2 linked regions of the Caenorhabditis elegans genome follow. The protein of the gene in region 1 purifies or fractionates together with the protein of each later gene. This does not show direct contact. Each region holds a gene or a part of one and is shown in the gene's direction. Other genes may lie near its edges.

Evidence for each region. Proteins that work in one complex are often made in the same cells at the same time.
Region 2: the proteins of tasp-1 (region 1) and F43C11.8 fractionate together in Caenorhabditis elegans (co-fractionation; one large-scale study listed by BioGRID). This does not show direct contact.

Annotation. Positions count from the first base shown.
Region 1 is NC_003281.10:10,752,948-10,763,661, forward strand, and holds tasp-1 (TASPase homolog), read left to right. Parts: upstream 1-6,437; 5' UTR 6,438-6,607; intron 6,608-6,721; 5' UTR 6,722-6,819; coding exon 6,820-6,853; intron 6,854-6,904; coding exon 6,905-6,987; intron 6,988-7,040; coding exon 7,041-7,144; intron 7,145-7,195; coding exon 7,196-7,344; intron 7,345-7,396; coding exon 7,397-7,527; intron 7,528-8,515; coding exon 8,516-8,739; intron 8,740-9,406; coding exon 9,407-9,472; intron 9,473-9,654; coding exon 9,655-9,859; 3' UTR 9,860-10,059; downstream 10,060-10,714. Other genes in the region: Chromobox protein homolog hpl-2, read right to left, coding at 13-84, 456-609, 1,568-1,806, 2,074-2,247, 2,522-2,563; rnf-113 (putative E3 ubiquitin-protein ligase rnf113), read right to left, coding at 2,751-3,034, 3,757-4,489, 4,553-4,690; K01G5.10 (Haloacid dehalogenase-like hydrolase domain-containing protein 3), read right to left, coding at 4,729-5,088, 5,139-5,237, 5,284-5,571; dpy-28 (Condensin complex subunit 1), read left to right, coding at 10,200-10,327.
Region 2 is NC_003280.10:2,327,161-2,337,874, forward strand, and holds F43C11.8 (RING-type domain-containing protein), read left to right. Parts: upstream 1-5,359; coding exon 5,360-5,435; intron 5,436-5,480; coding exon 5,481-5,647; intron 5,648-5,759; coding exon 5,760-5,828; intron 5,829-6,354; coding exon 6,355-6,919; intron 6,920-6,964; coding exon 6,965-7,034; intron 7,035-7,085; coding exon 7,086-7,110; 3' UTR 7,111-7,178; downstream 7,179-10,714. Other genes in the region: ZK1240.8 (RING-type domain-containing protein), read right to left, coding at 1-226, 278-320, 368-555, 1,541-1,770, 1,817-1,892; ZK1240.1 (RING-type domain-containing protein), read left to right, coding at 2,371-2,449, 2,517-2,686, 2,730-2,798, 3,735-3,922, 3,972-4,026, 4,081-4,390, 4,442-4,482, 4,534-4,554; F43C11.7 (RING-type domain-containing protein), read left to right, coding at 8,777-8,852, 9,363-9,532, 9,583-9,657, 9,726-9,913, 9,961-10,009, 10,117-10,375, 10,422-10,492.

The DNA of each region.
Region 1 (10,714 bases):
TAAGACCCCTACCGCTTCAGTCATCTCAACGTCCTGCGATATTTTCGATTCCTTCCTACGTTGCAGCTCGTGTTCTTCGGTTGTCTGGAATTAAAATAAAAATTTTGAAAAAAATTTCAAAAATTGTTTTTTATTCTAAAATTAAAAATACATAATTTTGTTCCAAAAAAAGTTTCTAAACTACTTTTTCCTTAAGAAGAATACCTAAAAGAATTCAAAATTCGCAAAAAATTAGTTTTTTCTCAAAGATTTAAAAACAGTATAGTTTTAAAAAAATTTCTCAAAAAAAATGTTTTCCCAAAAAAAAATTTTTTTTAATTAAAAAAAACATTTTTCGAGAGGTGTTCAAATTTTGGACCTTGTGTAGAGACTGTTTTTTGGAAACATTTCAGAGAAAACTTTTTTTTTTCATTTTTCTCAAAATTTTCTCCTTCTAAAACTTCAAATTTTCTCACAAGAATTCGATGTCCCGGTGGCATTTCAGGCCACTCATCATCTGCATCATCTTCCTCAATCGAACGCTTCTTCTTTCCCTCGGAAATCCGTTTGTGTCGTCTCTCCATCTTTTTCTTCAGAAATTCGCCGTAAGCGTCGACGAACGGGCGGTATCTGTATGGAAAATAGAATGTCGAATGTAATGTGTCTCAAGAAATTTTTATTGATTCAATAATATTTAGTCTCGATTTCAGGGGTTAGCACAAAAATTGGTATAGATTTTACAAGATAATTCAAAAAGAATATGGGAATGAGATGAGAGAACATGATATTGAACACGTGTATCGGGGTGGGGAGTGATTAAAGCTCGTCGGCTTTTGGGTCTTGGATTGTTAGCTTGGATTCGTAGTATCTGATAACTTGGCTCGGATAGCTGAAATTTAGAGCTTTTTTAAATGCCAAATTGAGGTTCGCTTCCTAGCTAAAAACTCTAGCGCCGATCGGGATTTCAGTTTTAAATACGCAGAATAGTCAGAAAAATTTTGAATGTTTGAATTACCGCGCCATGGTTTTTATCAATTTAAACGCAATTGTTCCGTTTTTCCTCGAATTTCTTAGTGAAAAAGTCCAATTTTTCATATTTTTCGTGGTATTTCGGTATTTCGGCACTTATGTGCAGTACAGCCGGCATATTTTAGAGTGAAATCCCCATCGACGCGTATCACGAGACCACAAGATTCTGAAAATGCGTATCGCGCAAAATATCTCGTAGCGAAAACTACAGTACAGTAAATACAGTAAATTCTGTAGTGCCTGTGTCGATTTACGGGCTCTATTTTCGAAATCATATTTTTTTGATTTACCGATAGAATATTAAAATTAAGCAAAAATGCCACTATTTGAACAAAAATCCATTTCAAAACTCGAGCCCGTAAATCGACACTACAGTAGTCATTTAAAGAATGACTGTAGTTTTCGCTACGAGATATTTTGCGCGTCAAATATGTTGCGCAATACGCATTCTCAGAATTTTGTGTTCCCGTAATATTTTTTTTCGGATACTTTTAAAGTTTTTGGGTGGAGTGTTTCCGTAATACACTTTTAATCAACCGGGAGCAATTCCCAAACTCACCGACTGTTCACCTCCTTCGCTGGAAGAAGCCGTGCCGTGTCATCACTGAATTTGCACAGAAAATGAAGTTCCCCAGGTCCCTTGGTGAGCCCGACAATGCATTTTAACTGCTTGCCTTCCAGTGAGAATTTGTCATTTTGATTCGTTTCCTTCTTTTCATCTTTATCCTCTTCTGGATCCGCTTGATCTTCGGAAGGTTCGGGCTTCTGGCTGTGTCGTTTGCGAATTGGTTTCTCTCTCTGTAAAAATAAAATAAGTTTGTTGCAGAAAAATCGGATTTTATGACTTTGTAATTTTAACTCTAAAAAACCTAATTTTAGTTAAAATCTTCAAGTTTACCAGCTTTTCCGTGTGAAAATAGGAGAATAATCGAACAAAAATCTAATTTAAACAGTTGCAGCACGGAAAAGTGGGCAAAATCGAAGATTTTTCAAACAATTTTCACTATGAAATTCGCTTTTTAGGACCATTTCAAGTAAAATAAACTTTAAAAAATTCTTCAAAACCTTTGAAAATTCCCTCTCAAACTCGTCCAACATCTCGACGCACTGGAGATTCTCTCTCGGCTCCCAGCTAGAGTCAGACTCGGGGAATCCTTGCCACTGTATGAGAAATTCGTCTCTGCCGGCTTTTCCAGTTCGCTTGTCCAGCACTTTTTCCACCATGAACACGTTGTCCTTCTGGAAATCAGATTTTTGAATAAAATGTGACTTTTTTTTTCTTTGTCGGGGAACTTATACTGTCGCTTTGTTTCTAGCAAAATTGGATTTTTTATGCAAAAATAGATTTTTTGTTGCAAAATTGTTTTTTTAAAATATTTTTTTTAGTGCAAAAATTGATTTATTGTTTTTTTGCAAAATGGACTGTTTTTTGGTTTTTTTTCGTTGCAAAATTGTATTTTTTAGTTTTTTTTGTTGTAAAAATAGATTTTTTGGTTTTTTCGCCGTTCCATACCGGATCTTCGATTTTTGCTCGCTTTGTTGATTTGCTCGACATTTTTGAAATTGCTGAAATAAATTTGAGCTAAAATGGGAGAAATCTGAAAAAACATAGAAAAAATATGGAATAAAGATTCGAACAATATCTTGAAATTAAAAAAAGGCTCGAACAAGAAAAAAAATCATATTTAGTTTACTCACAGACAATCACCGTACAGAAATATTTAAAAAAAAAATAAAAATTATCAATCTTTTTCAGCATCATCATCATCACTCTCAGAGTCATTTTCTCCACCTTCAAGCCCTTCCACATCCTCCATCATAATCTCCTGTTCCTCATCGCTCTTCTCCTCGGCTTCTGGAACATTTGAGTCGTTTTCAGGCTCCTCGGGCTCATCTTCGTGATCATGATGATGGTGATCGTCGCATTCGTGTGGTTTTTCATCATCGTCACTATCTTTTTCTTCTTCCTGTTTCTCGGCTTCTTGCTTCTGTTGTTGCTTCTTCCGTTTCAGGTAGGTTAGGAGCTCTGAAAATTTAAAAATTAATTTTTTTTTGCCACATTTTTCGAGCTACTATCTTGTGAATTTCGCAAGTTTTGGATTAAAAGCGCGGTTTGTTGCATGTAAATTTACGAAGGATTTTGTACTTCACCCGGACAACTGTGAGTTATTGGCTGAAATTTACTTTTTTGAACTATTTTCGCTGATTCTCTTCCAACATTCCAAATTACCAAAGAAATGAGTTTTCCAAAAAGCAGAAAAAGAGGCGGAACGTAATTTTGCAACCAATTTTGCAACCATGCGGCACGGTTTTCCTTTTTCTTTTTTGGGGTTTTTCCATAAAAGTTTCGATTTTATTCCTTTTAATTCACATTAGATTGGGAGGATATTTCAAGCTAAATTGGTTGTAAAAATATGAACTATAATCGAAATGTTATGCGAATTAAATTTGATTTTTTTCTCGTAAAAAAAAATAAAACAGGAAGAATCGAAGTTTTTTGGAAAAAAAAACCAGAAAAAAAACCAAAAAAAAAAACAGTGGAAAATTGTCGAAAAATCGTGCCGCAGAGTTGCGAAATTAGGCTCCTCCTCTCTTTCTAGTTATAATGTCTTATTATTGTCCAAAAAATGTGAAAAAAGATTCACGCTTGTCCACGTGCAGTATCCTCCGTAACATGTAAGTATCAAACTGCGCCGAAAAACCTTCCAAAACTTGCGAAAATCACGAATTAATCGTTCTATTTCAAACCTTTTGCGGTATTCATAATATTCTCAGTATTCTGCTGACATATTGGGCATTTTGACGACTTTTGGAACGATTTCAACGCACAACCGGTGCAAAAGTAGTGCTTGCATTTTGTCACGATCGGATCAACAAATGGATTTCCGCAAATAAAACAATCCTCCGGAAACGTATCGTCGCCTTCATGAATCTCGTAATTCGCATCGTCTTCAGCACCATATTTTCCTGCTTCGTACTCCTCATCAATCTCCCATCCGTGTTTATAGTCCGATCGGTCGTGCACAAATTTACACGAATCTCCAAACGTACAGAATCCAGTCTCCTTGTAATCCTTGCAAATATCCGGTGCAAAATCCCAACGGACTGTTTGTCGTAGAAATTGTGGCGCCCGAACGGGCCCAACTCGATTATAACCACTTGCAGCGTTTCCCTTGGCCGTATCCTTCGCCTCTTTGGCTCCATACAGTGCACTTCCCTTGTACAGAATTTTTCCGTCTTTCTCGACGCCTTCCTTCAGTTGCTGTTGGACTCGTTCGAATTGAGCCTGGGCATCGTGTGAATAGTCTGTGTCCACTTCGAGTGTTGCAGTGGCACCTTGATCACGTGGTCCAGATGGACCGGCATCTCCTGAAGCGGCGAACGAGTGAGTTGCTACTGCGATATCCTGATTGTCGTCAGAGTCGTCAGAATCATCCGATGAATTATCAGCACGTCGTGTTGAGGCGTCTAGTTGTTTGGTCTGAATTTCAAAGTTTATTGGGATTTTCCAAAATTTTGGAGCACTAAAGTACCAAGATCTCACCGACTGGACCATCGGATTCGTACGACGTCGCTTTTGAATCACATCCTTCACTTCTGAATCTTGATCCTCATCACTTGAGCTTTCCTTTTTACGAACGACGGGTGCATTGCGCTTTTTCGGTTTTCGGAAGAGATCCATTATCTGAAAAATTAAAACTATTTATTAAATTCAATTAATTAATAAAGCTTCAAATCTGACAAACGAGAAATACAATAAAACGGTTCAACATTATGAGAGGAAGATGAATCAAACAATAGAGCTCTACAGCCGAAATTTTTGGCGCCATGGAAATCATTTTTCAAATTGTCTCCAATGTGCAAGATTTCCGAGGGAGAAATTAGATCGAAATGGTTGACAACTAGCTGGAAGATCTTCTCATCGGGCTTTTCGTACCCAATTTCGCCGGAGAGAACTGTCATGGAGAAAAGATCGAGTAAATTGAATTGAGAAAGTAGAGATTTCAAGCGACTATCGAAATTGGAGATGACAACCAGGATGATTCCTTTCAGGCGAAGTTTTTGCAGAGTTTGGCGCGTCTAAAATGAAAAATTGCAGTATTTTTTTTTCAACAATTCACAAAATTTACATCGCTTTCAACTAGTTTCCACGGCTCAGGAGTTGCATAGTGATTGTACAAAGCTCCAGCGATCACTTCAACCCGTCCTTTTTCAGAATCCGGAGCACACTGAAACTATCAAGTAGGGGACTTGCCTAATTCAGATTACACCTACATCCAAAAGCGTAGAAGAAACTACTTCAATCCACCAACTTTTGTTTCCAATTCCATTGAACCCAAAGCAGGGCGATGCGATGCTCATTCGTTTATAATTTTTAAGAAAGCTTCCCATGATTTGATCGGAGTCGACTTCCAAATCATATTGCCTCGCGAAACGGGAATAAACTATCGGTGGAGACTCTTTCATCGTGATTAGTGTATCACGAGCATCTAGGGAGAGAACTTTCACGACTGGAGGGGTGGAAAGGTTACGAGAAGTTGTACGGAGCAGGTTGGAGAGCATTGAGCTAAATATGGAAATCTAGAGTTTTTTTTAGATTTCCAAAGAAAAGGTTAGTGTGTTGATTGAAAATTTTCCTCCAAATTGGCCGAAAACAATATTTTAACGACGGAAATACTGCATTTTAACTATTTAAATGACGATTTCGTAGAAAATAATATTGGAAGTATCGGAAATCGATTTTTCGAATTCAAACATCAGGAATTTTTGAGAAGTTTTTCGAGATGCATAGGGATAACACTAGGCTTCTTAAAAGAAAAAAGGTTTTTGCATCCGAATTTCAGAGATATTTCTGTAGAAAAAAAAGAGTTCAATTTACTGTTCAAACTCTCCAAATAACGATTTCTCAGCCAAAATCAATTAATTTCCAACACCTGATTTTGAACAGAATAACAATTTTTGAACAATTTAAAAGAAATCTTATCACAAAATTCGTTCATTTTGGCTTGCTTCGAGTATTTAGAAGGAAAAACTAGAGATTTCCTTGACTCCACTTGTTTCATCGATTAGGAATACTTTATCTAAAGATATTTTTTATATTTAAACCTATTTCTTTATTTAAAATCCAAAATCGCAAGAAATCCCTCATAAATTCGTCAAAAACAAAAATAAACTAAAAAAACACTTTTAAAAAATCGATAAAATTCGAAAGACCCGCGTGCGGCACGGAAAAAGTGGGCGGAGTGCGCCGAACGCAAACCACTCGCACACTTCTCATACACTCCGCCACAACACGCTCCACCGGAGTGTGTGACACAGCGCGCCAACTTGAAAATGGCCGAGAGAGTGTCTCGTGCTCAGGTCATGCGCGGCCTAGTTTTACCATGTGATTTTGACGCCAATTCAAATGATCACATTTCCTCGTGCTTTGCAGCGCTCCTTCTCCTCGTCCAAACCCGTCGAACTCGTGCTTTTCTCATCGCAAAACTGCTCGCTGTGCGTACATTTTCACAGACAACTCAAAAACTATCTTAAAAAGCATCCCGGGATTGTTGTCGTCGAGAAAAATCTCGCCCAAGAATCGCCAGAGCTAATTGAAGTGAGACTTTCTTCTACGTCTACGTTTTTTTTGTTTTGTATTCTATTTTCTCATTTAATAAAAATATAAATACAGAAAATTTAAAAATAGGTAGTTTAAATTCCTAATTTTCAGAAATTCAAATACGACATTCCCGTCCTGGTGGCCGGAGATAATAAAATCCTTCTGAAACATCGATTCAGTGGAGTTCTACTCGAAGAAAACCTCAAAAAATGAGCAACTGCGAGATAATCGCGGTGCACGGAGGTTTGCGCACACTAATTATCGATTTTTTGCGGCAAAATTTAAATCTTGCAGGTGCGTGTGCTAAATTCGACGCAAGTCTTGCCGAGGACTGCCGTTTTGCGTGTGGTACAGGCACTGTTGAGAATGCGTTGACGGTGAGGAATTCTTTTTTGGTTTTCTCACGAAATATATTTAATTTTTTTTGCAGGATCTTGAAAGAATAGAAAAGTTCAACTGTGGATTCGGCTCACATTTGACTATCGATCAAGAAGTTGAATGTGAAGCATCATATATGTCATCCAAAAATTTAAGGTTTCCCTAAAAACCATACATTTCTCCCTTACCGATTATTTTCAAATTCAGTTTCGGCGCGGTCGGCGCGATTTCCAACGTTTTCCATCCGTCCCGAGTGGCACGTCACCTTGCACATAGCAATTGGTGGAAGCAGCGACGTCTTCTTCATCCCCTTATTCTTGTTGGTCGTGGAGCAGAGAAATATGCTGTTAAAAATGGTAAATTTCTGAATTTTGAATTTTAAATCTCGAAAAATCATTGGATTTTCAGATTTTCCAACGTGTACACCTGAAGAACTCGTATCAAAAGCGGCGAAAGAGAGCTTTGAGAAGTATTTACATCGAATGCTTCATCCATATGATACACATGACACTGTAGGAGCTATTTCAATTAATACCAATGTAAGGATGAAGGAAAATTCGAGATTGGTTCCTTTTCTCAGGGAAATGTGTTCAAAATATGAAAAATTAGCGCATTTCTTCTATCAGATCCCAAGAAATTTCAGAGTTCCCGAAAAAAAAAGCCTTTTTCGAAAAAATGGCATTTTCATTAATATTTTGCTAGAAAAAACCGAATTTCAATGCAAATTCCGCCCTTTTGACTCAGATTTTGCCTAATTGTCCACAAAAACCGTTTTTTTAGTCGAAAATTAGCATTTCTTCTATTAAACTCCAAGAATAATCCGAAAAATATATTTTTAACTACTTTTTGACCAAAAAGTCCGATTTTTCAAAATGAAAAATTCGTATTTTCCGTTAAATTCTTACGTAAAAAAGCTATTTAGGCTGAATTCTGTGAAAACGCTGAAAAATCCGATTAAAAAAAAATTTTCGCCGAATTTCGATGCAAATTTCGCGTTTTCGATCCAGAATTGGCCACAAAAAAAAAGTTTTTTAATCGAAAAATAGCATTTTCCTTTATATTTCTATGAAAAAAAAGCAGTTTCAATGTGAGTTTCTGAAGAAAAAAGGTGGAAAATCCCATTTTTAAATCTATTTTCCACCAAAGTTCTATCAAAATTCTACGTTTCCTTGTGGAATTTTCATTTTTCCCGGAACAAACAGGTTTTAAAATTGAAAATTAGCATTTCTCCGGCAAATCACACGTATAAAAGCTATTTCGATCGAAATACGAGTTTAAAAAACCAGATTGTCAACTCCATTTTGGCAAAATTCTATAAAAATCTCGAATTTCCTCTATTTTAGCCGGTTTTGGGTCTAAATTTCTCTGAAAAAAAAAAACGGTTTTCAAATAAAAAATTACCACTTTTCAGTAAAATGCCAATTTGGTTTGCAAAAAAAAAATCGATTTTCAAAAGTTTTTCCCCCTGAATTCTATCAAAATTTCGTATTTTTCCAATTTTCGCCACGAAAAATGTCTTTTTTGCAGACAATGAACTCAGAATCCGGTACTTCAAGCGGTGGAATTGTGCTAAAACACTCGGGACGGCTTGGTCACAGCTGTGTATATGGAAGTGGAACATGGTCTGAACGAAGGCAATACGAAGAACCATTTGATCAAGTCAGTGAACGAACCATCTCGATTTGTTCGACAGGACACGGTGAATCACTTGTGAAAGCCGATTTCTGCAGGGGTATCGCCACGAGAGTGCTGTAAGTTTGGGAAATTATTGAAAATTTGGAGATTTTGCGCGCACTGGATCATTTTCCGTAGAAATAACTTAAAACTGAGCAGTTTTAGATGTAAATCAGCATGAAAATCCACAATTTTGATGATTTTTGAATCTTTTTTCGAACAATTAGCACAAAAATCTATAATTTTTGGAAATTCTGACCAGTTTTCTTTTTAAAAAAGTTGCTTAAAATTCGGGGATTTTGCGCGTTCAGGACCATTTTCTGTAGAAATTGCATAAATTGGGACGTTTTTAGCGATTACAATTTTACAAAGGCAATTTTCTCTCAAAATTAGCACAAAAATCCACAATTTCCTATCTATTTTCTGCAAAAAATAGCTCAAAATTCGAGATTTTCATATATTTGTGATCTGAAACAAACTGCAAATCCAAGTTTTTTACCGTTTTTCTTGAAAATGTAGCACAAAAATGTAATTTTTGACTGTTTCTAAACTTTTTTCTCTTAAAATCGGCAAACAATTGATAAATTAACAATTTTTAAATTATTTCCCTTACAAATAGCTTTAAAAATTGTAAAAAAAAGAAAATTTAATATTAAAAAAGATTTTACGACTAAAAAAAAAGAGATAAATCGCTGCGAGACCCTAGTTACCATAACAACAACGCATCAATTTTGTTTCTTTCAGAGACGACGAGGAGGGTATCATGTACAGTGAGATTATTCGAGAATTCATACACGAAAAAATGGAACAGTAAGTAGATTTATTATTCCATTCAGAGCAGCATATTTATATTTAAATAATTGAAAAATTGAACATCGAAAGTTCGAAAAAAATGAAATTTTTCATAAAATTTTGTATCTGTTGATGAAAAAACATAATAAAGCTTTATATATATATTTTTCGAAAAATCGAAAAATTGATTTTTTTTGCAGTGGATCCCGATACGGTGGCATCGCATTGATCGCCGACAAATTCAAAGATCGAATGTCGCTGGAATTTCTGATTTTCCATAATTGTCGATATCTTCCGGCTGCAGTTCGTTGTCGAGACAATCAGATTCGTGTTTTTGAATCACAATTCGATCCGGATCAATGTACTACTGATCCTAAATGTGTTATCGAGTCATTCATCATGTAATAATATGTATATGATATCAAGAATTCCGCGTTTAAAACTTAGAAAAATCTGGAAATTGTGTTTTTTTTTCGGAATTTTCCGGGGTTTGAATGCGGAAATATACAAAACAACTCCCCCACTCCATCCGATTTCTCTCTCAATCCTCCGCTGAAGAATATTTTATGATTTGAAATTAAAATGAAATGAAGAATTTTGTAAATATTTTAATTTTTAAACTTTTAATTGTTTTTTCTTTTATTGAATTTATTCTAGTGCTCACTTGCTCGCTTAGAAATATCACTGATTTGTTATTATTTTTTAAAAACTAATTTCCCCCTTCTACAGGCTTTTCCCCTAACAAATGCCGAGAAAACAACGCGTTGTCACTACACCGTCACCACCGACTTCAGATGAAGATGAGGATATGGATTTTGGCTCGACGAGCCAGCAACAGCAGCAGCAGCCGACACGGAATAATGATGGATTGAGGTTGAGAATTTCAGTTGGAAAATTATAGATTTTTCAGTTTTTTTTTTCGTGAGAAAAATCAGATTTCGTGCACAATTTTCACATAAAAAACTAAAAAAATCAGTTTAAAATTCGATAAAAAACTTAATTTTTTCCGATAATTTCAAAAAAAAAAATTTAATATCAAATTTCAAAAATTTCAATTAAACTCCAGATTTAGATATATTTTTCTCAATTTTTACTGAAATTTCTCTGCAAATTGCAATAATTTCGATGCTTTCTTCACTGAAAAACCCATAATTTTCATTTAATTTCATTTAAAACTAATATATAATTTTTTACAGAACCTTTTATGGAATTTTCTAGAAAAAAAAGTAAAATAAAGAATTTTTCCTGTGAAGTTTAATA
Region 2 (10,714 bases), on another chromosome or scaffold:
GTCCTCCTAGATCAATGTCGGCTTGGAGTAACTGATAATCACTAATTTTTGAGAACTTCGTTGTTTGCTCAATTTTCTCAAGAAGACAATCCTGCAAACGTTTCATATTGGATTCAGTTTCCTTATTGCACTTGTATATTTCTGTCGTATTAAAAGTTAATTTATCTGTAATCCTCTTTTCCCTTTCATCAACCAATTGACGGATTCTACTGAAATGATATTTTATCTGCAATTGCCCATATTATTATAAAAATAACTTCGAAAATTGAAAGCCTACCTCCGAAAGCTTTTCAATAAAAAGTTGTCTATTTGACATAGCTCTGAAAAATTGAAAATTTGCAAAATATCTTCTAATCTCTCAACCTACTCTCTAAATTCTTCTAGCTGCACTGTGAATGATTCAGCATTCAATTTCATCTGTTTCAGCCTGCATTCCAGTACATCTCTAATTTTTCCAGCTTCTACACTCATCAAAACTTTTGTATGACCTGTATGAACTCCAAACTCCTCGCAAGTCCTACACATTAGTTTGTCGATTGAGGGACAGTCGTGCTCCTGGAAATTAAGAATTTATTACTGATTTTCACGCAACTCTTTCCAATTTTTCAAATAATCTAAAGCATTTTGAACACAAAATTTTTGAAGTTAAATATGGAGTAGCGCCAGTGGGAAAATTGTTAAAAACCACTTCTCTGGTTCCAAAATTCACAAATATCATAGTTTAAATTTTTTTTAACTTCTAAATTTTTGAAAATTGGAAAACTCTCAGTTTTGCCACGTTTTGCCAAGAAAAAACATTTTAAAAAATTTTTGAAATTTTTCCATAGGAGTCTTTTCTAACATTTTCCCACTAGCGCTAACTTTTGCTCGTCTCAGTTTCTTTTGAAAAAATTCGAAATTTTCATATTCTACCATGTTTTCCTTATTAAAAAGAACATTCAACTATGTGTTTTCAGTTGAAAACAGTAGTGTTTTTTTAAAATTTGCTAGAAGATTCTAGAACATTCCAGAATTTTCTATAATTTTTTCAGAAGGTTCGAGAACATTCCAGAATTTTTTTTGAATTTTTTAGAAGGATCTAGAACATTACAGAGATTTTTTTCTAGAAGTTTCCACGTTTTTTTTAAAATTTTCTTAGATGTTCTAGAACATTCGGGAATTTTTTTTTAATTGCTAGAAGTTTCTAAAACATTCCAGAATTTTCCCAAATTTTCAAGAAGGTTCTAGAACATTCCAGAATTTTTTTGAATTTTCTAGAATGTTCTAAAACATTCCAAAATTTTCTCAAACCTTCCAGAAGGTTCTAGATCATTTCAGAATTTTCTTGAATTTTCCAGAATATTCTAAAACATTTCAGAATTTTCGAAATTTTCATATCCTACCATGTTTTCCTTATCAAAAAGAACATTCAACTATGTGTTTTCAGTTGAAAACAGTAGTGTTACAGATATTAAACTTTAAGAAATACCCAAAAAAAAACCATAAATTTCACTTTCAAAAAATTTATATGAAACTTTCGTTGCTTATCAGCTTAACCTACACTGCACAAAAACTCCGCAATATTATATCGATGCTCTTTGCACTTTGGCGGTGAGTTACTCGAACTAGCTTCCATCATCTCCATAGCCTGCATCAGACCAAAATTTTTCTGCAGGCTCTCCACATTTCCATTTTGGACCTCTGTTGTTTCAGAGCACTTTTTTGGGCACAAAATCACAGAATTCGAGATTAGTTTGACTGCACAGTTCTGACAAATCGAGTGACCACATTCTAAACTTTCGAAAATATTTTACAGAAGTTACAAAAAAAAACTCACTTAAAACTCGCGGAGCACGACTTTCATCTAAATTCGAATAATCTTCATTGCAAACTTCACACTCAAAAATTGCCATTTCATGTCACTAAAGGAGCATTAGATAACAAAATAGATTAGTAAGAGTATTTATATAATTCCTTGTGAAGCACGAAAAAAGTGAGTATTTTCAAGAATTTCGTATGATTCATAATTCATTAAAAAATACGAGTTGTATCCTTTTTGAGTCATAAGCATAAAATAGATAACACATTCAAACTCAATTACAAACTCAATTACATTTCAAACTCAATTATAAGTTGCAAAACCGATACCTACTACACAACTTGAAATGTCATTTGCCAAAGGTACCTATATGTAGACAGGCAGGCGCCTACTCGCCTATGCCTACTTCCTAGGCAAAACCATGCCCACCTACTACAATCAGTTTTTGCGTAACTCTCACGAGCCCGTAAAAATCGTTATCAACTGGAAATTTGTGTCAACAAGGAGTCAGCCACCCGGTCGTTTCTCTAGTTTTTTCCCCGATTCTTCTCGAAATTCTCCAGTCTCCAGAAATGTCAAAAGTTATCGAATGTGAAATTTGCAATCTGGAGTTCTCAAGTGTCAATGAAGATCAGGTTCCAAGAATTTTGAGTGAGTATATTTTTTTCTGTCAAATACGAATACGAAGCTTGAATCTAAAAATAGGTAAATGATTCAGAATGTGGCCACTCGGTTTGTCAGTGCTGTGCGACAAAACTACTAAAAAACTCGGCGATTTCTTGTCCATTCTGCCGGGAAACAACAAGTGTCAGTGCGGTAAAGGATCTGCAAAAGAATTTTGCACTGCTGCAAATAATTGAACACACGAAAACTGAACGTGTAGAAGAGGTACGATATACTAGATAATTTAATTAATGAGAAAGTTTTTCAGGAAGATGAAGCAGATGTACCGCCAAAATGCGCGACCCATAAATATAATATGGCGGAGTTCGTTTGTCTTGTGAGTTTTTATCTGGAAAATTTGAAAAAAATTCTGGAATGTTTTAGAAACTTCTAGCAATTAAAAAAAATTCCCGAATGGTCTAGAACTTTCTGGAAAATTCAAGAAAATTCTGGAATGTACTAGAACTGTCTGGATAATTCGGGAAAATTCTGAAATGTTTTAGAATATTCTGGAAAATTCAAAAAAACTCTGAAATGATCTAGAACCTTCTGGAAGGTTTGAAAAAATTCTGGAATGTTTTAGAACATTCTAGAAAATTTGGGAAAATTCTGGAATGTTTTAGAAACTTCTAGCAATTAAAAAAATTCCCGAATGTTTTAGAAACTTCTAGCAATTAAAAAAAAATTCCCGAATGTTCTAGAACATCTAAGAAAATTCAAAAAAAAACCTGGAAACTTCTAGAAAAAAATCTCCGGAATGTTCTAGATCCTTCTTAAAAATTCCAAAAAAATTCTGGAATGTTCTCGAACCTTCTGAAAAAATTATAAAAAATTCTGGAATGTTCTAGAACCTTCTAGCAAATTTCAAAAAATTCTAGAATGGTCTAGAACCTTCTGTAAATTTTGAGAAAATTCTGGAATGTTTTAGAAACTTCTAGCAATTAAAAAAAATTCCCGAATGGTCTAGAACCTTCTGGAAAATACAAGAAAATTCTGGAATATTCTAGAACCTTCTGGAAAATTCGAGAAAATTCTGGAATGTTCTAGAACCTTCTGGAAAATTTTAGAAAATTCTGGAATGTTCTAGAACCTTCTGGAAAATTCGAGAAAATTCTGTAATGCTCTAGATCATTCTGGAAAATTTTAGAAAATTTTGGAATGTTCTAGAACCTTCTAGCAATTTTCAAAAAAACTCTAGAATGATCTAGAACCTTCTGGGAAATTTAAGAAAAATTCTGGAATCTTCGAGAACCTTCCTTAATTCTCCTTCCAGGACCCCAACTGCTCCTCCGACGAAAAGCTAATGTGCCGAACTTGCGAGGAGTTTGGAGTTCACGCCGGACACTCGAAGGGCCTCCTACAGACGGAAGCTTTGAAATTGAGAACGTTGCTCAAAGATAAGCTTTTAAAGTCCGAAGATCAGATTGTTCAAATTGACAAGAACATTGAAGAGGTTGACAGGTTAGTTTAAAAAGCGGTAGATCACAATTTTAGCTCGCTGAAATTTCAGCGCCCAGCAAACAAATCAAGTAGATGGGAAGGTGTTTCAAGATAAAAAAGATTTGGTTAGTGATTTTTTTTTGAAACGGGGACGAAATACAATTCCAGAACATTTTCAGATATCCGTCTACTATACCTCAATACGAGAGACCTTAGATGCCCAGGAAGCCCTTGCAAATCAAAAACTACGCGAAATTGCAGAATCCAATTCAGCTAGCAATAAATTACTACTAGAAGAATTGTCGGAATCCCTGGAAACCCAGAAATTGAAAAACGAGAAATTAAAGTCGTTTCTGGGAATGAGCAACGCGGATTTGTTAGCTCTAAATTCAGAAATTCAGCTCTGGGATGACTCGGAAAATACAGAAGTTGAGCCTATTCAGTTTGATGTAGCATTAAATTTTCCAGAAGTGAACAGGTTAGCTGTGGGTAAGTGGATTTGGAAGGAAGTTGGTAGATCAATGTCAGGAAGTTTTGTAGATGTGGCAAATGCTTCAATGTCAAGCTCTCTGGAGCCAGATGTAGGTTTTAATGATAATTTAGCATTTGTATTATAGGTACATGAATTTCAGAATATAACCCTGTGGCTTTGAATGTTCCAAACAAGGCAGTTTTTTGGTTTTAAAGTTTTCAATCATTTTTTACTTTGTACAAATACCGATAAACAACCGAAAATTCAACTCTCCAATCCTGATTTTTTTGGCCCTTTTCGGGCAATATAAATTTTTGAAATGTCTAATTTTTTGGTATTTTATTTTTCTGAGTTCTCATATTTTCTAGGATTTATTTTTTATCTCTTTTTTCTCCGCCTAGCCTACATTTAAGCTTAAGTCTAAGCCTAAGCTTCATCCTAAGCCAAAGGCTAAGCCTAAATCAAAGCCTAAGCATAAGCCTAAGCCTAAGTCTCGAAAACTTGAAAATCGGAAAACAAAAATTTACGTTTTTTCGATTTTCCGGAAAATCCAAAAATCGAAAAAAAAAATGATCTAAAAATTAATCATAAAATACGATTTTTATCTAATTTTTTTTCTATTGATAAGAGAAAAAAATTTCGAAAAATCAAAAAAAAAAACGAAAATTTTCGATTTTTCGATTTTTCTAAAATAAGCCCGCTCCCGTACAAACAGTGCTATAGGTGCTCGGCAGGTTTCAGGCAGGCGCCAGGCTCTGAAAACGTTTTATTTTACGAAAAACTATTACGAAATCCGTAGTAACTGACCACATAGAATTAGCAATAGTGTTGAAAATGGTGTATCTAAACTGATATGAGTCAGCAAAAAATATTTACCGGTTTCCGTGTATTCTTGGTCACCAAATTGTTATCGTCTTATCGCAGTGTCAGCGGGAGAACTCCCAAGACCATTCGTTTATTTTTCCAACCCTCCGTACAGTTCCGAAATGTCATTTATTGAGTGTGAAATTTGCAACGAAGATTTCTCAAGTGCCACCGATGAAAATATTCCTAGGATTTTGAGTAAGCTTTTGCTACCTTTCCTAAAATTAAAAAATAAAAATTCAGGATGTGGCCACACAATTTGCCATGGTTGTGCAGAAAAATTGCTCCAAAACTCTATGATTTTATGTCCATTCTGCCGGGAAGCAACTAATGTCAGTACAGTGAAGGATTTGCAGAAGAATTTTGCATTGTTACAGGCAGTTGAACACGCTAAGACTAGAACTGAAGAGGTTTTTTTTTCTAGAAATAAAGTTATACATATAAATATATATATATATATATATACATATATATATTTATATATACATATATATATTTATATACAAATATAAAATTTTTCAGAAAGATCCCATTGATTCACCGCCAAAATGCGCTTCTCACCAGTACAATTTTGCGGAATTTGTGTGCATTGTGAGTTCTTTATAGGTTTTGATAGGCCCCAAAATGTCAACTGTAAAAAATTTTTTAAAAAACTTACTATTAGCAGCCGACAACTCGCCGGTTTCTGAGAGTGCGAGGTTAATAGCCAAAAAATAATGGTACGTGGGAGCCTAGTTCAGGCCAAAGTCTTGGCCTAGATTTTGCTCAACTTTTGTGGTCAAGCTCGGCATTTGGCTATAAATTCTTGGCCAAGTTTTGCCCAAAAAATATTAGCTTGGATCAGAAGTTTGCTAAACTTGGGCAAAACTTTGGCAAAACTCGGATTCAGGCTGCACCAAAGGTTTGGCCCAAACTTCTCTTATTTCGTTTCAAACTTATGTAGAAGTTTGGCAGAGTTGGTTGAACCTTTTTTTAAACTTTGGTGGAGTTTGAATCCAAGTTTTGCCCAACTTTTGCTCAACGTCTGAAACAAGTTATTATTTTTTGCGCCAAACTTGGGCCAGAAGCTAGAGCCAAATGCACCTCTTCTTGCCTGAGAAACTAGCATTCTTTCCAGGAGCCCACCTGCTCATCTAGCGATAAGCTCATGTGCCGTACCTGCGAAGAGTTTGGAGCTCACGCCGGACACAATCGAGGCCTACTACAATCAGAAGCGGCAAAGTTGAGACAGTTTCTGAGCGGGAAGCTTTCAAGATCCGAAGACCTGGCAAGTAAAATTGATGCGAATATCGAAAAGATCGGAACAGCTCAGCTAACAAATCTCGACGATGGGGAGGTATTTCAAGAGAAAAAGGTTTCGATAATAGCCTTCTACGCTTCAATACGAGAAACCTTGGATGCTCTCGAAAACGATGCTCTTGCGACGCTTCAGAACATCGCGGAAACTAACTTTTTCACGAACGACCTGCTCATCGCAGAGCTATCGGAATCCTTGAACCGGCAAAAGCGAAAAAGTGCGGAGCTGAAGCTGTTTATGAAAATGAGCAATGCAGATTTGCTCGCGGTGAATTCTGCGCTGGAAGTGAGCAGCGAGAATGAGCTCTGGACTGAATTTGCTGATGTTGAGCCTGAAGTTTTTGACGCAGCACTGATTTTTCCAGAGATGGATAGGCTTGTCATACGTAGGTCTTTGAAAAAATATTGATTGGAAAAATTGGATTTTTCAGAAGTCACGAAAGTTTCTAGAATTGACAACAATTTGTCTCGCGAGTTTGAAGAATTTTGCAGGGCTAGGAGGTAAGCTAACGAGAGAAATATGAATTTTTATATAAAAGTTTTTTTTTTCAGACAACCTGCTAGCTGCTCTGATTGATGCCAACGACGGTTTTATAGGATATTTAATTGAAAATGTTTGTACATAAATAAAAATGTGATTGATGATTTTGTTGCGCTTCAAAAGCGAACAGACATGGGCCAATCTTTTTCAGAGTTTTTTTTCTACAAATTCGGCAAATCGGCAAATTTGCCGGTTTGCTGATTTGCCGGAAATTTTCAAATGCGGCAATTTGCTGGAGATTTTCAATTTTGGCAATTTGCCGATTGCCGGAAATTTTTAATTTCAGCAATTTGCCGGTTTGTCGATTTGCCGAAAATTATCAATTTCGGCATTTTGCTGGTTTGCCAATTCATCGGTATTTTTTAATTCCGGCAATTTTCCGGTTTGCCGATTTGAAGACATTTTCAACTGCGTCAATTTGCCGGAAATTTTCAATTTTGGCAATTTCAAAATAGATATAAGAAGATTCATAGGATGCGTACAATTTTACCGATTAAAATTGAAATTCTGAAACTTCCAAAAAAATGTGCAAGACCACAATTTGGCAAAAAATGTTCCACAGTTGCCGTTTTTCCGGCAAATTCGGCAAACTGGTAAGTTAGTTTTAAATTCCGGCAATTTGCCGATTTGCCGATTTGCCGGAAATTTTCAAGTGCAGCAATTTGCCGATTTGCCTATTTGCCAAAAGTTTTCAATTCCGGCAATATGCCATTTGGCCAATTTGGCCGGAAAAATTATTTGCCGCTTACCCCTGAGCGATTGAAAAACCCGCTTGTGATATCATGGGTAAAGATTCCAAGAGATTTGACTCAAAATCGCTGAGACGGAAGGATTATCAGATTATCACTATGGTTACCATGCGCCTGTAGCTATTTTTTAATATTTTTGCTCACCAAGATAATGCTCAAGAAGATTATGATCACCATAGCAACTGAGCTCTATCGCTGAGCTGGCTCCGCGGCTCTCCTCATTCCATCTCCTTTGGGTGCCTACGGAATGTGCGCCCTCCTTTTTTCTCTACTATTGATTTTATGTTAATTTCTACTAAACTTTGCTGGTTTTAATTATTCTCGACAGGTCGAATAAATGCTTGAGCAAAAAAAAACTTTTATTTTAAAAGTTTCAAGGTGAGCAAAACTTGCTAATATCCTTAATATTTTTTTCTGTATTCCAGACTCGGCTACAACTCCCACCGTCAGACACGTCATAGTAACTTACTTCTTCAATTATATCAAATTTTTAAAAAATTTTATTTTTTCATTTCTGCTCTTGTGCACCATCGTCCTAAAAAAAAGTGAGTTATTTTTCTGGAAAATGTTTCTTTTGTGTTCCGATTTTTACGAGTTTTTTTTTCAGAAATTGGTGATCTCGTTATGGAATTAATTGTTGAATTATTGAATTAAAATTGTTATAATAAATTGTTTTTTGTTTTGGTTTTGTTCCGCAAATTTTTTACCATATGGTATGACGTCATAGGGTTGTGACGTCACTACTAAAAAGCGAGGGTCTCCTTTTTCATATTAGAAATAATTTCAAGTAGAAATTGGAGCAAACAAGTGAATTTTGGGAAATTGACATGTGAATTGGTTATCTAAAGAATAGCACGAGTGAGGAAGCAACGACCTTGATAAGAGTGTAGTTTCAATTTCATTTTCTAATTTCTGTCGACTGGCCAGTAAAATAAACAAAATTCGAAAAAAAAATGTCGTTTCTGAAATGCGGAGTTTGCACCGAGGACTATTCAAATGTGATCACAAATCGGCATCCCAAGAATTTGAGTGAGTTTTGACTTGAGACCACTATTGCATAGCTTACGCTAAAAAATGTTCCAAGTTGCGTTGGGCTCCGTCCAAATTTAAAATGTAATAGGCCCATGATTAGCCCAAGAATATCATCTTACTAGATCCGGACAGTTTAACAAGAGTTTGGCCATTCTTGCATTCAGGCTGCGCCAAAAGTTACGTTGGCCCGAAACTTTTGCTGTGTCGGCTTAAACTTACGCTTAAAGCCTAAATCCAAAAAATGTCAAAATTTTGCCCAATTTTTGACCAAGTTTATCTAAATTCTGATCGAAGTCAATACTTTTCGGACCAAATGCCGAGTATAACTAAACTTGGATGGCCTGGATTAGCTTAGGCTAAGGCTTAGCTTAGGCTAATTCTTAAGCTTAGGATTAGGCTTAGGCTAATTCTTAAGCTTAGGATTAGGCTTTGGCGTAGACTTAGGCTGAGACTTAGGCTTGACTAACTAGCCATACAGACCATCAAAACTCGCAAGTCACTTTTCAGCTTGCGGTCACTCAATTTGCAAGGCCTGCTCTTCAAAATTAGTCTCTAATTTCAAAATCCTGTGCCCATTCTGCCGAAAAACCACTGAGCTTCGAGAAAATGAAAACTTGCAGACCAATTTTGCATTGCTAGAGGCTATAAGCTTGTTCAATGATATCAATGAGTCCGTTGTAAGTTGGAATTTTTCATTAATATTGTTGAAGACTTTACACACTATCAGACTGAGCCAAGATCATCTGGAGCACCACCAAATTGCGAGGAGCACACTTATAATCTGGCCGAGTTCGTTTGTATCGTAAGTTTGGTCGATGCACCATGATGCGTGAAATTGCAAGACATGGCGCATCGACCAAAGTTCTTCAGAGTCCAAACTGCTCCAGTCGAAGCAAGCTGATGTGCCGGACTTGTGAGGAGTTCGGAGTCCACGCAGGACATAGAAAAGGGCTTCTGCAGGTTGAAGCTAAGAAAGTTAGGCAGAACCTTCTAGAGCGGCAAAGGAAGCTTCAAGTCAACAAGAAACAGGTTGATGATAAAATTCAAGCACTGGAAAAGTGGGCTTAAAAGTGATTTGTAGAAAAAAGCGACTTCCTGTTTTCAGGGCTGCTCTCAAGAAGAATGATGAGCTATATAAGGAGAAATACGATGAGGTGAGTTTCATTTACAGGTTCTTTCAAAGCCTAAGCCTAAGTGGAAGCCTAAGCCAGAGCCTAAGCCTAAGATTAAGCCTAAACCTTATAGTAAGTTGTACTTTCAGATAACACGACACTACGACAGAATCCGAAGCTCTGTTGCAGAACGAGAAAAGACTTCAAAGGAAGTGTTAAAGAAGAGTGTGCTGACCAGTGAGGAGGACAATCGGATGGGTCAAATCTCCAATCATGTCATCAGGCATCTACTGGAGAAGAAGTGTGAGGAAGTGGAACAGCTCGTCGGGATGACCGATTTCGAGTTGTATCGGGTGAAGGATAAGGTTGACTGGAATGATGAATCCTTTAGTTTCTCGGATGTTAAAGGTGGGGTTTGGAGTTTTATCTCCCCAATAGATATATGAATTTTCAGAAAAACCACCAATGGAATTGAAAACCTTGCATGTGAAGCTTCCAGAATTCCGATTTGAAGATTCGAGCTGAAGTTAAACATCAATATACATACATAAAGCTTATTCCGTCTTCTCATTTTGTATTTTAACAGGCCGACTTGTAGTCTTGTATGTATTCTTGTAGTCTATACTGTAAATGGACTATTGGCCCGGTTTCAGGCCTACCCAGCCGAAACTTTTCAGGTTCCACGCCGCAAGGCAGGCGGAGGTCGTCTCAGGGCCTCAAGATTTTGGAGCCTCCATGGAGCCCCTA